2 linked regions of the Neodiprion lecontei genome follow. The protein of the gene in region 2 interacts with the protein of the main gene of each other region in a pairwise test. Links are inferred from orthologs where the notes say so. Each region holds a gene or a part of one and is shown on either strand. Other genes may lie near its edges.

Region 1 (8,903 bases), on a different chromosome or scaffold from region 2:
GATTTACGTCTAATTCTTGGATCTCAAGTCTCGTAATGTAGGTCTTAAGTCTAGACTGCAAAATGTAAAATTTAATTTATTTTATTTGTTGTCAGCCCACTGACCGATCATCAGTCGTCACTGAGACTTCATGGACACCAACTTCCGTGATCTAGCTCTGGCTTCGGCTCGTGCATTTGTATATTCGAACCATAGTACGTTTGGAATCAATGTTGTATCGCGTAGCAATAGATATTCTGATATTCGCCTGTAATAAGCAAAAGTAATATTTTTTACACTTAACCGTATCTAACTATCTTGCATATATTGAAATAGAATGTATTCATAGAAATTATTTTCTTATTGAAAAATAAAAAAATGAAAACAAAATTACGTGATTCAATAGTGCCTGTAAATCATTTTGATGAGAATAGTTTACAGGTTTAAAAAAATTGATACAATTGTCTAGTTTTATCTATAAAATGTAATATGTGACTGAGAAATCTGGGAACAAAATTTCAGTAGTTTTGAAAGCAGTCTTGTTGAAATGTTTATTTCAATTTTGCATCCAATTATTCTTGGAAACAAAAGTAATTATCAGTGTAGTAATAATGACATGAATAATAACAATAATAATAATGATATTTGGATAATAATATTAATAAATTGATAGCGAAACTCACCATGATACAATAATTGGAAAAAATGGTGTGAGGACTAGATGAGTAACTAGAAACCAGACGCTGCCGACAAAGATTCCTACAATCACGCCGCAAAGAACTTGTGCAATAGAATGGTATTGCAAATAAATGCGGCTAAAAGCAACAAGGGTTGCGACTCCTACACAGCTGGCGATTATAGTTATCCGCCAAAATCTCTCTGATACTGTGCTGTTGTTATTATGATGTAATCTGTGATGCCGAAGAATTAAAGAAAGATCATTAATCTTAAACACATAAACTCAATTGACAGAAATTGGTTAAAAGTTTCAATAATCTTTATGTCCTAGAAAACTTTGTTAACTTGAATGAAGCTTTGAAACAGATCACCACACAGAAGTAGAAAAGCGATTCAAGTAACCAAATGTAATAACGACTTACAACCAATTCTGTGCTAGATTGAGATCACACCCTAGAAATGCGTTACCTAACAAATACGAATATTGTTGCATATGTAGCGAAGAACCACATAAACTGAGTATGAGCAGAAGGCATTCCGTACTCTGTGTATATAACTTCCCGCCTGATGGGTCGTGCTTCTCGTATTGCATGTTTGAGAGAAAAGTTGACAACCTCGTTAACAACAACACCCCCTAAGAATGCTATCTGTAAAAATCAAATCCAATGATCACTGGGTATTTTTTAATTTCTGTTGGCGTTACAAAGTTGACACCCCAGAATGATCATACAATTGTGTGAGTTATCTTACAGTGTGTAAATCTCTTCTGAATAGCACTAGCGTTAAAAAACCTGCGATAACAGCGAATGGCATTAAACTTATCAATGCCAAAAACTTCCCAATCAGATCACCTGTAATTTAAGATCACTCAAGTGAACATCGGTTACAAGGTGCAAGAGAAATGAAGACAGAAATCCGTGCGTTGTTTGACAACATTGTTCTTGTATTTATGATTTTAAGACTTTCATATGTTTAATTATGATTCGTTAACGTTCTATGTTTTTATCATTTTCAATTAGTGGATTCTAGAAGTGATAGAGAAAAGACATTGAACTATAGATTCTGAATTAAAAATTTTATTTGTACCAACTAGTGAAAGGAAATATTGAATAATGTTTTCAGCGCCGTCAGTAGCCTCGTGGAAATACGGACACGAATGCAGATAACGTTTCATTATCATTTATTAAACATGCAATAATTATTAGTTAAATTTACCTGCCGGATATTCTACGAGCGTAAGGGATAAGGGCACCCATTCCAATTGCTCGATGGAATGTGTAGAGTGAGATTTAATGTCGCGCAGCGACTCATCGTCGAGCGACGACGCCATTTTCAAAGTTTGAAACTGCCGTACAGCGTCACCAAATTCTGGCAAGAATGTGGACAGTGTCGGTTGTATTTGTTGTATTTTGTTACCGACAGTGCGTGTTAACAGATGTCCCCACAGGGCTTCCGTAAAGAATGAGAAGTGTCATACTCCATACATACACAACCAAAGAGGATGACGGAAATCAAGTCATAAGATTTGCACTGCATATGTATATTTCTAGATTTCAGAGCATATACTATCGGAGGTAGCTACCCAATCCGACTACCTCACGAAAACTGAACCTGAAATAATGAGAGAACGAAACATGTACTCGGGATATTCCGTCTCTCTCACTCTGCACTTTATTGGCTGAGAGGAAACGTATGGACCAATCAAGTATGGAGCGAGAGAGACAGGTTGTAACGAGCATATACTTCTCTCTCTCACTCATCCACCACGCTCTCTATATATACGAAGCTACCACTCGTAGTATAAAGCTACTGGCCGAAAACTAGGAAGAATTGCAATTCCCTGTTTTGTTGGGATTGCCGTCAGTTAAAAACCAAGGAAAATGTTTCCCTCGGTGTATAACTTGATTGGCTGAGTCTCCGCTTACCACGGTGCACTGGTTATCACTCAGTTTTCCATTGACTTGCGTTCAATTGCATTGTCATTCCTCCGCGATTTTCGGCAACGAACCTCAAGAGAAAAATCATGGCAGCTGATCCATCCAATATTTTTGGCTTTGAATTACTCTACAAATCTGTGGAGAATCAAATAAATAAGAAAGATGACGTATTGATAACTCTGGTGCACTGGTACTTTGTTAGAACTGGATTTAGATGCATTGGCACTGGTGACACGGTTAGTGCCGAATATCTGAACCTGATGCAATCTGAAAAATAGAAAAAGCAAAATAATGAATAACCAAACACTACAAAAAAATATTCATCTGAAAAACTTATAAATCCGGATAATTTAATTTGTTTTTATTCATTACAATTAACAGCTTGGTTCTACTTATTATTTTCTTCTACTAATTCGGGGAGAAAAAAGACGAAATTCAAAGTTTATTTAAATGATTTACAGAAAACGTTTAATCCAAATGAAGTAGGATCTGAATTGTTACCTAACGGCTGGAACCAGAATCCCAATTACGCTTTGCGTTATGTCAAGGAAGGAAAACTGTACATTTTACTTGGCACAAAGTCAGATGCCGATTTAATCCTCAATCTGATGGTGAGTCAATTTCACTCCTAGGTATTGATGGTCACATTTTTACTTTCTAATTGGCATTCATCCTTATAGCGAATCGAAGACCACAGTGTGTCCAACATTCAGTTTTTGGTCGACACAACTGTGTCTGCCCTGAAAGGGCCACTGCAGACGTTGATGCCGAGTTTCCAAAGTGTCATAAACACCATCAGAACGGACCTGGTTGACCCCGTTTATACAGGAAATGCAAGAGAAACATCGACTCAAACTTCGACAGGCAATGTGAACAGTACGCGTGATATTCCACGCCGCCCAAATCGCTCGGATTACGATCCTCTCAGGGTAGGACCGCCACAAAGACCAAACCCAGATCTTCCTAATTGGTAATTTCCATATCAATTTTCTAGTAAGCCATAAGCCCTTTCTTTAAAAAGCATTCATTGTTAAGGTTTCAAAGGTCCTCTGGGTCTGGCCACATCATTTGCTGCATTGTGAATGTGTTTGTTACATGGCTTACTAGGAAATTTATGTGGCGCTCTTTCAGTCCAACAGAAATTTACCTTTGATACCTTTACAGGTTTCCAATGACATTGATGACATAGATCCCGATGATATTTGGCCTACAATGAACCTTTAAACCCTTGAACATCTTGTCCAAGCCTTTTCCTGACTTCATCCTGATCAGGACGAACATTCCCTTCGTTTTTAATCACACCAAATCCTTGTTATCGATAATCCTTTTCTAACCACAAGAAATAAAATCCCTCATAATATTTCGGATTCAATCGCTTAATTGTTACGCATTCATGTACAATCGTTGTATGAAAGAAATGAGGTGATTCTCAGAAAGACATTCGGCAGAATGATACATTTTATTCACTGTTAGGACATAGTTTCTTGCATCTCTTAAGTTCTTGTGGAAATTCTTATAGTCTTTAGTAATTTTTTGAAACCTTGATAAACTTTTGATCCACTCAAGTGAAAAGCACAAAATGAATTTTAATACTTGAAACATCCAAGCAAATATAACAAACAATTGAACTGTTCTATCAGCAAAATACAGAAGCCATTTACAACAAAATCATCAGGCTTCTGGATTAGAGATTCTGTTGAAACATCTAGGGGCGTATGTTTGGACGAAACTACGGAACTCCTGATGTGTAGTTTCATCCAATAGACCTTACATCGCTCAGCATACGGTAGATCAGATCGTAGGAAACTCGTAGTTACTTCACTATTGCTCTGAAGTAATATATCTATTCAAACTCGAACGTCTTAGATACTATTACTGAAACCCTATCAGAAGACAATAAAACTTGATATTTGAGGCGTAAATACACAGCAGGATTATTTGGTTATGGAATTTCAGTCATCAAGCTGCATATATAACCAATTGTAACTGAAATGAAGAAAAGCCTATTAGATGAAACTATGTATCACAAGCTCCATATGTTTAGCTATGCAAATGATCGCAGAAGTTATTGAATTCGAAGTTGGCAGAAGATTTGCATCAGAAAATTAGTGTGCTTACCAAACTCAGTGGTTTTCGCGCTTTAGGAACATTCTAGCTCATACGATCGTTCAATACTGTTCAAATGAGTTTTAGAGGAGTCATAAAACGTCAAAACTTTGCATTTCATATATTATTGTAAAAATTGACTTTATTCAGTGAAAATTATCTATTTAGAAAATAGCAATTTGGTTTTTTGCTCTTGAATGGAATTTTCTGCTAGCCCGTAATTCGACAAGCAATACGAATAAGAATGCTGTCGCTTGCCCAACTTTAGAAAAAAAATAGTAGTGCAATCACAGGTTCGCTCAAGATTCGCACTCTCCAGTAAACTATCCAATCGCCTATTGTTCAGAATAATAATTCTTACTGAATAAGGTCTATAAATACGAAGTTTCAATATTTACCTACTCCTGGAAAACTCAATCGAAAGCTATCTAGCGATTCTACAAACCAGCTTATTTCCTATCAATCTCCTTTTCATCAGAAGTTTGAGCAGAATTTCATTATCTGGAAGCCTGATACTTTCCTTGTTAGATTATCGTATTGAAATTCGTTTGATGCTCCAAAAAGTCAAATTTGGCAGAAGTTGAGCCTGCTACTTGAAAAAGATGCACAAGTTTCTGTCGAAGTTTAAAAAGTTGAGGAACGGCGTGGCTGAAGTTCGTCGATTATCACTGACAATCAAATCATGGAAAATATTTCAGGAATCCAATGGCTGACCCAAGAGGAGTTGGAAGATCAGATCTGGATCCATTCACAGGACCTCCAGGCAGCGGAGGAATGATCTTTGACCCTTTCTCATCCGGCCCATTTGGCCGAAATCCACTAGGACCCGGAGGTCCTGGAAGTTTGGGAATTCCTGGCCGTCTTCCCCCGTAATTGCCATTACTATTTATTCACACGCTTCAAAGGGTCCGTTCAATACTTGCTTATTGGTCGCAAAGAACGAAAAAAGAGGGAGGCCCCTGGTCCAAAAATTCTCAATAGATCATGTTTTAATTTCTCAGAAACGTACCATGTTTTCGAATAGTTCTAAAGAAAATTCTGTATTTATCCTCAAAAAGTTTGTGAGGGATATCCAAAATTTCCAGAGAGTTTTCATATGCTTTCAGACTTCTTATTCTATTGAAAATCACATAAACACCGAAGTTTCGCGTCATGTCTACTGATTACGTAGCGTTTGAAGTAAAAATGGCAAGAATTTCTGGGAAAAACTTTTATATTATTGAAAACCTGAAGAATTTCGAGTTTTCATTTTTCTGAATATTTCTGAGAAAGTCGAGTTAGAGGTGAAAATCGGACCAATGCCTAGAGAAAAGTCACTTTCTTTCAGAACTTTATTTTCTGTCACAAATTCGAAAAAATCCGATTCCAGTGTTTCTAAGTATTTTCAGGCGATAACGAATTATAAAAAACTGTTATGGATTTCTGAGAAATTTGAAATCTCAAGATTTTTTCATAAATGTATCGGCGTTAATTTTCGACATAAACTTGGAGAAATTTGTACCAATTCTTAGAAATTATTCGAGTTTAACATATATTTTTCAAAAAAGTTGAGAAACTGTCATAAATTCTGAGTAAATTTGTAGAAATTTAATCTAAAAATATTTTGTGTCGAAGAGGGGGATGCGAAATTTCCAAAACAGATGTCAATGCAATACTTGAATGGCTTCTGAATACAAAATGTAGGTCACATTTCGATGGTATCAATGTGATTGTGTTATCCAAATGTTTCACAAAAAAAGTAACGAAATTTACGAATTACCTAAATTCATAACGTTTTTTTTCAAATTCTAGCGGCGCTGTGCCGCCTGGGGCACGTTTTGATCCCTTCGGGCCACCGGACGTAAATCTTCCGCGGCCCCCCAGGGGGGGACCCGACAATGACCATTTACCACCGCCAGGGTATGACGACATGTTCATGTAAAAGACGAGGCTTCAAGAATATGGAACGATAGCGGGATTTTCGGTTACTAAAATTCTGCGTAAAAGTATAAGAGCCATTTAATGTGTATCAATTTTTTATCTAATAAAAAAATAACTGGTCAGTTGCCGCCTCGTAATTTATTTCTGTGGGAGATCAGGGCAAAGCAGAGCACCCTGGGGAAAGTGCAGGATCATGGTTATTCGAATGCCAAGGAATTTTTGTATTTCTGTTTACTTATAATCAAGGGAAATATTCCAACTTCTAAACTGTCGACAAGATATTTTTTGAATTTTGCAGGGAAAAGCAGAAATTGTGCAAAAAATGTAAGAAATATTTTCGACCTACGTTACTTTGCCCCGATTTCCCGTATGTACACATGTGGACAGTAATTCAGAAACGGCTAGTTTTTCGGTAAGGTCAATTACGTTGGTACATAACGCGAATTCAGTCTGCAGTGCCACTGTCAGCCTACCGCTACGGGCTGAATCTGCGTTACCAACGTAATCGACCTTACCGAAAAACTAGCAGTCTCTGAATTAATGTCCACATGTGTACATACATGCAATAAACATCGTTTAATCTTAAATTCCCTTGAAGAGAATTTTTCTCTATCTTCACGTTGGTAAGAAAAATAAATTAAAACCCCGCGCAGAAATTCTCGGATTGAATAATTTCAACGTAAGTAATGAATTTCTTTTTAAATATAATTTAATCACTGTATCAATATTTAAACAATAATATAAGTATTGTGTGATACGTAGTAATTAAGGGACATTATTTTATCAAATCAAATTAAATATAATAAAATATAATAATAATTGTTGATTTAATTCAGCTAACTTGTTACTAACTTATATTCGTTATTTCTTTCAATCGTACCAATCAGGTTTCTGGGATGACTTGCAAATAATAATTAAGGACAGATTTTACTGTAGCTTTGCTATACATGACTTACTTGACTCATTTCGTAACATCATTAGTGAGAATTAATTATGAATAAACAATTTCTGTTAAACATTGGTTATTCTCATGTCTCCGTTTTACATACCGTTATTAATTTTTATCATTATTTTTAGATCATTGGATATAGAGATGCATATATCCATTACGCAACTAAATTTAGAACCCTTCATTTGACACAATGATAATTCAATGTCTCAAAACCTCGATATTATAACATGGTATAATTAGAAAAATTGAACTGTGTATTAAAAAAATATCGCACAGGAGTGCAGAAATTTGACAAAAGTCTTGACGATAAAAAATTTGTTTATTTTTTTTTAATTCTTTTTTTTATTTATTTTTTTTTATTTGCGTTCAAAAAAATTTTCAATAGATATGCGACAACAAACACAGATGATTTTCTTAATTTATCTGTGCTTCGTATAATTTTTGCCTGCATCTACAGAAAGGGGTATGTATATTGAATATGCATTAAAGTATATTCATATAAAAAAGAAGAAAAAAGTAATACTAGGATTTATTTATGTTCTGGGGAAAAAGCGTCGCCTACCAAGAAAATAATTAAAATAACGAATCTTACCATACGATAAATTTTCCGCTTGTTTGTTTTTTTCTCACTATTTCTTCCTGGCATCAAGAAAGTAATAATAGTATTAGTGTAGTACCAGGTGTAGCAGTAGTCGTAGTAGTAATAATAGAAAAAAGCATTCGTGAAAGTATATAACATAATAAGTATATGATTATTATAATAATATGCGATTGATTATTCGATAAAATAAAGATGATGATTTATTTGTAAGGGATCATGCGTAACCACGTAGAATAAAGTTAATTATATAATTTCAGTATGATTTTCATAAATTAAAGAGTATCACAAACTAAACGTGGTTTTTTGGTAATGTGACAAACAGTGGTACGCCTTATTAACCCCATCATCTGTTACAAAAAATTATTGCAGCTTTCGCATCAACACGAAAGAAGTATTATAGAATAACAGTAATAAATGTTATAGAAGATTTTACGTATCTATCACACAGCTCATTGCATAATCGCGCAACCCAGACGAACGTGATAAGAAAAAGAAGATCGAACAGTTTTTTAACGGACATTCTCTGTACGCTGCAATTTTATTTCATATTAGATTATTTTTCAAGCGATGTTTTGGGATTCGCGAATTCAGAAGACGCCAACTTTTAGCAGCAAATGAATTACATCAACTACCAGAACCAAATTCAATTGTAAAAGTGATTACATTTTACGTATTTTACTTTATATTGACTTATTGTTACCATTACAAAGTGCAAAGTTCAACAGCGTAC
Region 2 (5,658 bases):
GCAGTGCACCAAATATCGATTCAACAGGATAAACATAAAATTACAATTTTTCATAGATATGCATGCAAAAGATTATCATACATATATTATTCAACATTATTTCCGTAAGCATTTTTCGAAATTTGATCATCTTCGAAGGCCTACTAAGTAACTCAAAATGACAGGAGTAATTTGAATAACAGTACAAAATTACCTGTGCAAAGCCGTCTGTCCTAGTCCATCTAAGGCGTTAACTTTGGCATTGTGTCGTAGTAAGACATCCATTGCGTCGTAGTGGGAATGATCGGTAGCTATATGAAGAGGTGTAAGAAAGTCTTTATTTTTTTCATTCAGAGCTGCGTTTTTTCTTATCAAAGTTTCTATAACTTGTTTCCGTTTCGGATAGGGTGATGCCACTGCGCTATGCAGAGGAGTATCGCCAGTGTAGGGATGCTTAAAATTAACAACATCCTGAGACAGATACTTTTTCAATTTCGTTGCATCTGCCTGTCTGCAGGCATCTAGAAGACAGTGTCCTTTGAACTCATCTGAAATATAAGAGGAGATTGAGCGACTTTTGTTCTGTTCTAGAGTTCTATTAATGGTTTGCTGAAAATAATAAGCCTGTTTTCAGTACTCGACTGGAGAGAGTAAGAAATTATGTTTTATGGATCTACCATTTTCACCCATACAAACGAGAGTTTTATAAGATTTATACTCACATGCCAGTCTTTCTTGTAATTCCAGCGTAGGTGCCACGTCAATGGCACTTTTACTGTGGCAATTGAGCTGAGTCGGATCTGCGCCTTCGCTCAGCAGCAGCGAGCACACTTCAGCTCTAGATTTACTGGCAGCTTCGTGAAGCGGGGTGAAGGCCCAGAGATCACTTGCGTTAACAGCAGCTCCGTGTTTCAGAAGGGCTTCCGTCACTTCAAAGTGACCATAGGAACAAGCGTTATGCAGTGGCACCAACCCCCTGTAGAGAATGTCCATCAGTTATTGTTACGTCCATAATTAACAGTCTAAAATTTCCCAAACCGAATTGTTACCCAAATCCTGCATACCCTTTGTCCTTGGCATGGACATCTGCTCCGTTTTGTAACAATATTTGTACAACCCGCGATCTGTTGTAACCGGCAGCTAAGTGCAGCGGAGTGGATCGTCTTCCGTCACTAGCGTGGCAATTAACATTCAACGGATTCAATAATTGCAATAATCTCTCCTCATTGCCTGATCTAGCTGCCTCTAGCAGTTCATCTTTCCTATATTCTCCCGTAAGAACAGGCTTTGTTGCTGGGTCAGCTAATTCGAGTGCTATTTTTCCTTCGGTGTTTCGAATATTGGCGTCAGCTCCATGTTGGAGGAGAGCAATACAGACATCTATTTTACCCTGTAATATGACAGACCGAGTGTTTCATAATAAGAACATTAAATGATGATAAAAAAAACTTGCCGACTGACATTTCTCATGTACAATTCTACCTTGATAGCAGCCTCGTGCAATGGCGTGTAATTCCAGTTATCTCTGGTATTAGGATTAGCTCCTGCTTCCAAAAGCAATCGCACAACGTCAAAATGACCAAATGAACACGCGTTGTGGAGAGGATGGAGGCCTCCGTCGTCGCGGGCTTGTATAGAGGCTCCAGCCGAAAGTAAAAATTCCACCACGTCTCTCCTACCATATCCTATTGGCAGGAACGTTACAGTTAATTGTAATTTGAAAATTAGCATGTTAAGATGATAAACTAATACACCATTTTTATTGAATGATTCTTAAAGAACGAGCAAACAGATTATAAGTTATGCGCACATATCTGGTAAATAGGCAGACATTAATTTTTTTCTCCTTTTTTTCTCCTCACTTTCTTGAGACACAGTTTATTTTTGGAAAGCTCGCTTCTTCCCCTTTCCTCAACTTTATTTTTACAGTTTGTACAGTTTGTATGAGATAATTTTTATCCAGGCTTTCTAGTTTACTCAGGTTTCCAGTCTGAATGCAAAACCTCAGGTGAAATAACGACAAAGAAGATGTCATTATTTACCTATTGAAAGAAGGTGGCCAACCAAGTATAAGTACAGTTAGAACTCGGTTCTGCCTTGTAAGCAGGAGCACGACCTTTCTATCCACGCAAAGCAGGTTGCAAACTAATATTTTCCAGGTTGTTACATATTAAGAACATTAAATATGCGCAGCAGAATAACAACAAGTAATAATTTGGTGCTCTAAAAATTTCTACATTATACTTTCACTTTCTCTTGGATACGATAATAATAAAATGTTATTTCACAGCTCATTTTAACGAGACCTATGATCTAATATAAGTATTGCTATATAGTCTAGTTTTAACAACTACACAATTTGACAATACTTTAAAAATTTTTCACGTTTAAGCATTTTTTTTTATATAATAAAACTAAACACGGACTATGATTGCAAGGTATAAAAATGAAGGGATCATTATAAATGGAGAAATGGCCGAGTAACAGGGTCATTCAATTCGTGCTATTTAACTGTTTTGGAGTACATGGAGGATTTTGTTTCGAAATTAAAATGAGCAGGTAATGGCTAAAGATACGTTTCTCAATGTTAATTTGCTGTTTGCATTCAGCTCACTCAAAACCAGGAAAACCTGTATAATGACAGGAGATGGCAAAACACGGGTAAGATATACGCACATAGATACACATACACACGTAATTTTTGTTTTTCGTTGCGCAAACCCTAACCAAAAAAATTGATGATAACTTTAAAAAGGGGAAATAACACATGCAGCACAGTTTACAGAATAATTGGTTCGAGATAACGAACTATCCTTACTCCGTAGGAGTAAAAGGGTGTCCCGATATTGAATTGTTCAGCTGTAAGGTAACGCGAGAGGATAAATGTAAATATAAATTCGCTCACCAGCTGCGAAGTGCAGGGGGGTAGATTTTCGTCCGGCGGTATCACGCGCGTTAACCGTTTGCGGGGTTACGATTTGTTTCACCCTTACCAAGTCCCCGGTTTTACACGCTTCGAAAAGTTCGCGAAATGGATCAGCACCCCCATTTCCTGGCAAGGGCTCAGAGTTCGTCAACACTGCCCGTCGTCCAGTCATTTTACACCACCATTTTCATGCTACTGTCGTCTGAGGCACACACCTCCGTATACCAATGTATACGTGTATACGTATGTCATCGCAGTCGAGGACCAATGCGCCAGCTGTACCATAGCAACAAGAGTTTGGCAGGGTCGCAACGCGAGTTTCTTGAGCCCCTGGTGTAATTTCGACCGCTCAATTTTTCCTTGAACCAAATTTATTTACCCTTATTTTCTTCTTTCTTGTTTGCATCGCATATCAGCGAGTCTTTTAAGTCACACTGATATTCGAAATTTCTTACGATGAATAAGAATACACGCGGTTTGATGTCAAATCCCTCTCTCCCTCCCTGCCCCCCCCCCCCACCCGCGCCCCTCGCCGACACCTCACGACGCCCCGCAGAATTGAAAGTTATTCGTCACCGACTTGCCGTCAACGGTTGCTAGCAATGCGGACCAATCGCCGTTTTCGATTTGCCGAGCGTAGCGTTTTGAAAAAGAGAAAGATGGTCAGTCCCCATCAGTCCCGGCGCTTGATCGCATATGACGCATCTTAAGCGGCTCACGTCCGATACTAATTATACAGATAATATCACTAGATTTAATCGATTTAATCAATAATTCTGCACCTAATTAACATAATGAAATGAACACTAGAATGAATTCGTTGCTAAGTTGTGATTTATAGCGTTTCTGACGTAAAGTGTAAATACAATAATTACTGATATTAGGCAACAGGGAGTACCGATGGCAGTCAGCGTATCTTTCCACAAAAATGTCTCTCTTCTTACGCAACTTGTGTCCCCGAACGAAGCTTTTAGACGGCATTTTCGAGAGGTATGGAAATTGATTTGTTGCCAAGTGATGTAGCCTTCAGTTTTTGTGAATATAACCTCTCTAGTTTGTTGTCCGTCTACCGTCTCGATACTATCAAAAAAATTCAGCTGATACATTGTTCTTACTGTGAACTGCTGATTTAGTGAAAATTTACTAACCTGTTACTTCTATCTAGTTAATTTTATTTTCCAGGGAATGTTTGACAAGCCGAACACTACAGGCTTCATTCACGTATCTCACTATCTCCTTACGATATATGATTCGGAACGGTTTAGAAAATTGGTGGAGTGGCCAATAGTTTGTAAGAAGAGTGAGAGCAAGTACAGAAGCGATGTTAAAGATTTTATAGGCATCGTTGCAACCGAGCATCCCGAGGCTGGCCTTCCCTCAATATTGGGCACGTATTTGTTGCACGCTGGAGGTACAAAGTTTATCAACGTCATGTGGAAGCTCTCACAGGTTGTCCTTTATGTATATATCAAACGTGAATGTAAGTTATATTTTGATTTCAATTCTTTTAATTTACTTACTTGGCCTTGTTATGTTAAATTTGATTCCTATCCCATTTACTCCGTTGAATTCAGTTGCCGGTACTGTTGATGTATGTACTATACATTTATATTGTACACACATATATCTACACTGTATTGTATACTGACATTGAGGAAACCGAATCTGACCTACACGTATGTATTCTAATACCGAGTGAGTGTGTGAGAAGCAAGAGTGTTGTTTTTCTGTACACAGAGTTGAATAGAGTCGAAAAGAAGATCACAGGCAAAGCGCCACGAATGTCTGGTGTTGTCCCGAATATTCAAATATTAACTCTTAACGTATTTCTATATAATAAATATACCAATAGAATTATTGGAGCCTCATTTTTCCCAACCATTCTAACAGTTACAATATTTACTCACGTTATATTGAGAAGCTTGGCATGTAAAAAGCTATGCTCACAATTTGCACCCTTTAAAGGGAACCAACGGCTAGATGATAAATCCCAGGTAAATGTTGGTAAAAAAATTTTAATGTGTAACTCTTTTATTTGCAGCGGATAGCAATGTACTCATGGCACCACAATCCGGGATTACAGACGAAGTAACTAAGAAGCTGTTAATCAATACCACTTCAGATATACATAAAAACATTGAGGAGATGAACAGCCGATTTTCTAAGACTGAGCGAAGGGCTAGAAGCTTTGTCGAGTAAATCTGTTTGCATTCAATCCCAGTTTCAATAATTAGATTCAAACAAGTTGTTTTTAGTGAATGACGGTACAAGTTTATCATAGTCTGCATAATTGTTAGTATTGGATCTTGACATGTAATCAACAAATTTTCAGGGATCAGGTCAATGATATAAACGACTTTCAGAATGAGACATTCGAAAAAAGACAAGCAATATCTGAACTTGCTGCAAATGCAATAGTAGCCCCAGCTGTGAAAAAAAGGTTGACAGATATTCAGGATATTGAAATTATGAAAAGTAAGACCCTTCCTAAATTTGTGAAACTCAACTGTTGTCATTTATTTCCTTTTTTTTTATGTGGTTTCTGCATTTTTGCTCTTTATAACTAAACGAAGGTGGCATACTTGTGGCATACTTACAAGGAAATGTACTTTATACTCTCCGGCATGTACCTCTTGCTACGTCAATTTTTTATACATTCATTATTCTAACGAATGTCACTTATTTTTAGTGTGGAAAGAAACTCAAGCGAAACAAATCAGCGACTTACAAGAAATGACAGGGATTTTAAAAAC

The links.
Region 1: the proteins of poly [ADP-ribose] polymerase tankyrase (region 2) and proteasome inhibitor PI31 subunit interact in binary tests that used the Drosophila melanogaster proteins (3 or more experiments, as listed by UniProt). The link is inferred for Neodiprion lecontei from reciprocal best matches to the Drosophila melanogaster genes Tnks and PI31.

Annotation. Positions count from the first base shown.
Region 1 is NC_060261.1:13,182,799-13,191,701, reverse strand, and holds proteasome inhibitor PI31 subunit, read left to right. Parts: upstream 1-2,458; 5' UTR 2,459-2,680; coding exon 2,681-2,830; intron 2,831-3,055; coding exon 3,056-3,205; intron 3,206-3,274; coding exon 3,275-3,564; intron 3,565-5,398; coding exon 5,399-5,569; coding exon of another isoform or gene 5,570-5,573; exon of another isoform or gene 5,574-5,606; intron 5,607-6,314; coding exon of another isoform or gene 6,315-6,379; intron 6,380-6,491; coding exon 6,492-6,621; 3' UTR 6,622-7,822; downstream 7,823-8,903. Other genes in the region: dolichyldiphosphatase 1, read right to left, coding at 118-247, 663-890, 1,126-1,304, 1,408-1,470.
Region 2 is NC_060265.1:26,915,638-26,921,295, forward strand, and holds the start of poly [ADP-ribose] polymerase tankyrase, read right to left. Parts: upstream 3,376-5,658; 5' UTR 3,078-3,375; coding exon 2,885-3,077; intron 1,665-2,884; coding exon 1,462-1,664; intron 1,370-1,461; coding exon 1,029-1,369; intron 956-1,028; coding exon 702-955; intron 528-701; coding exon 194-527; intron 1-193. Other genes in the region: uncharacterized protein LOC107218902, read left to right, coding at 3,806-3,895, 4,088-4,385, 4,947-5,100, 5,238-5,380, 5,595-5,658. UniProt on the Drosophila melanogaster protein: Stimulates proteasome activity, probably by ADP-ribosylation of PI31. Modulates 26S proteasome assembly.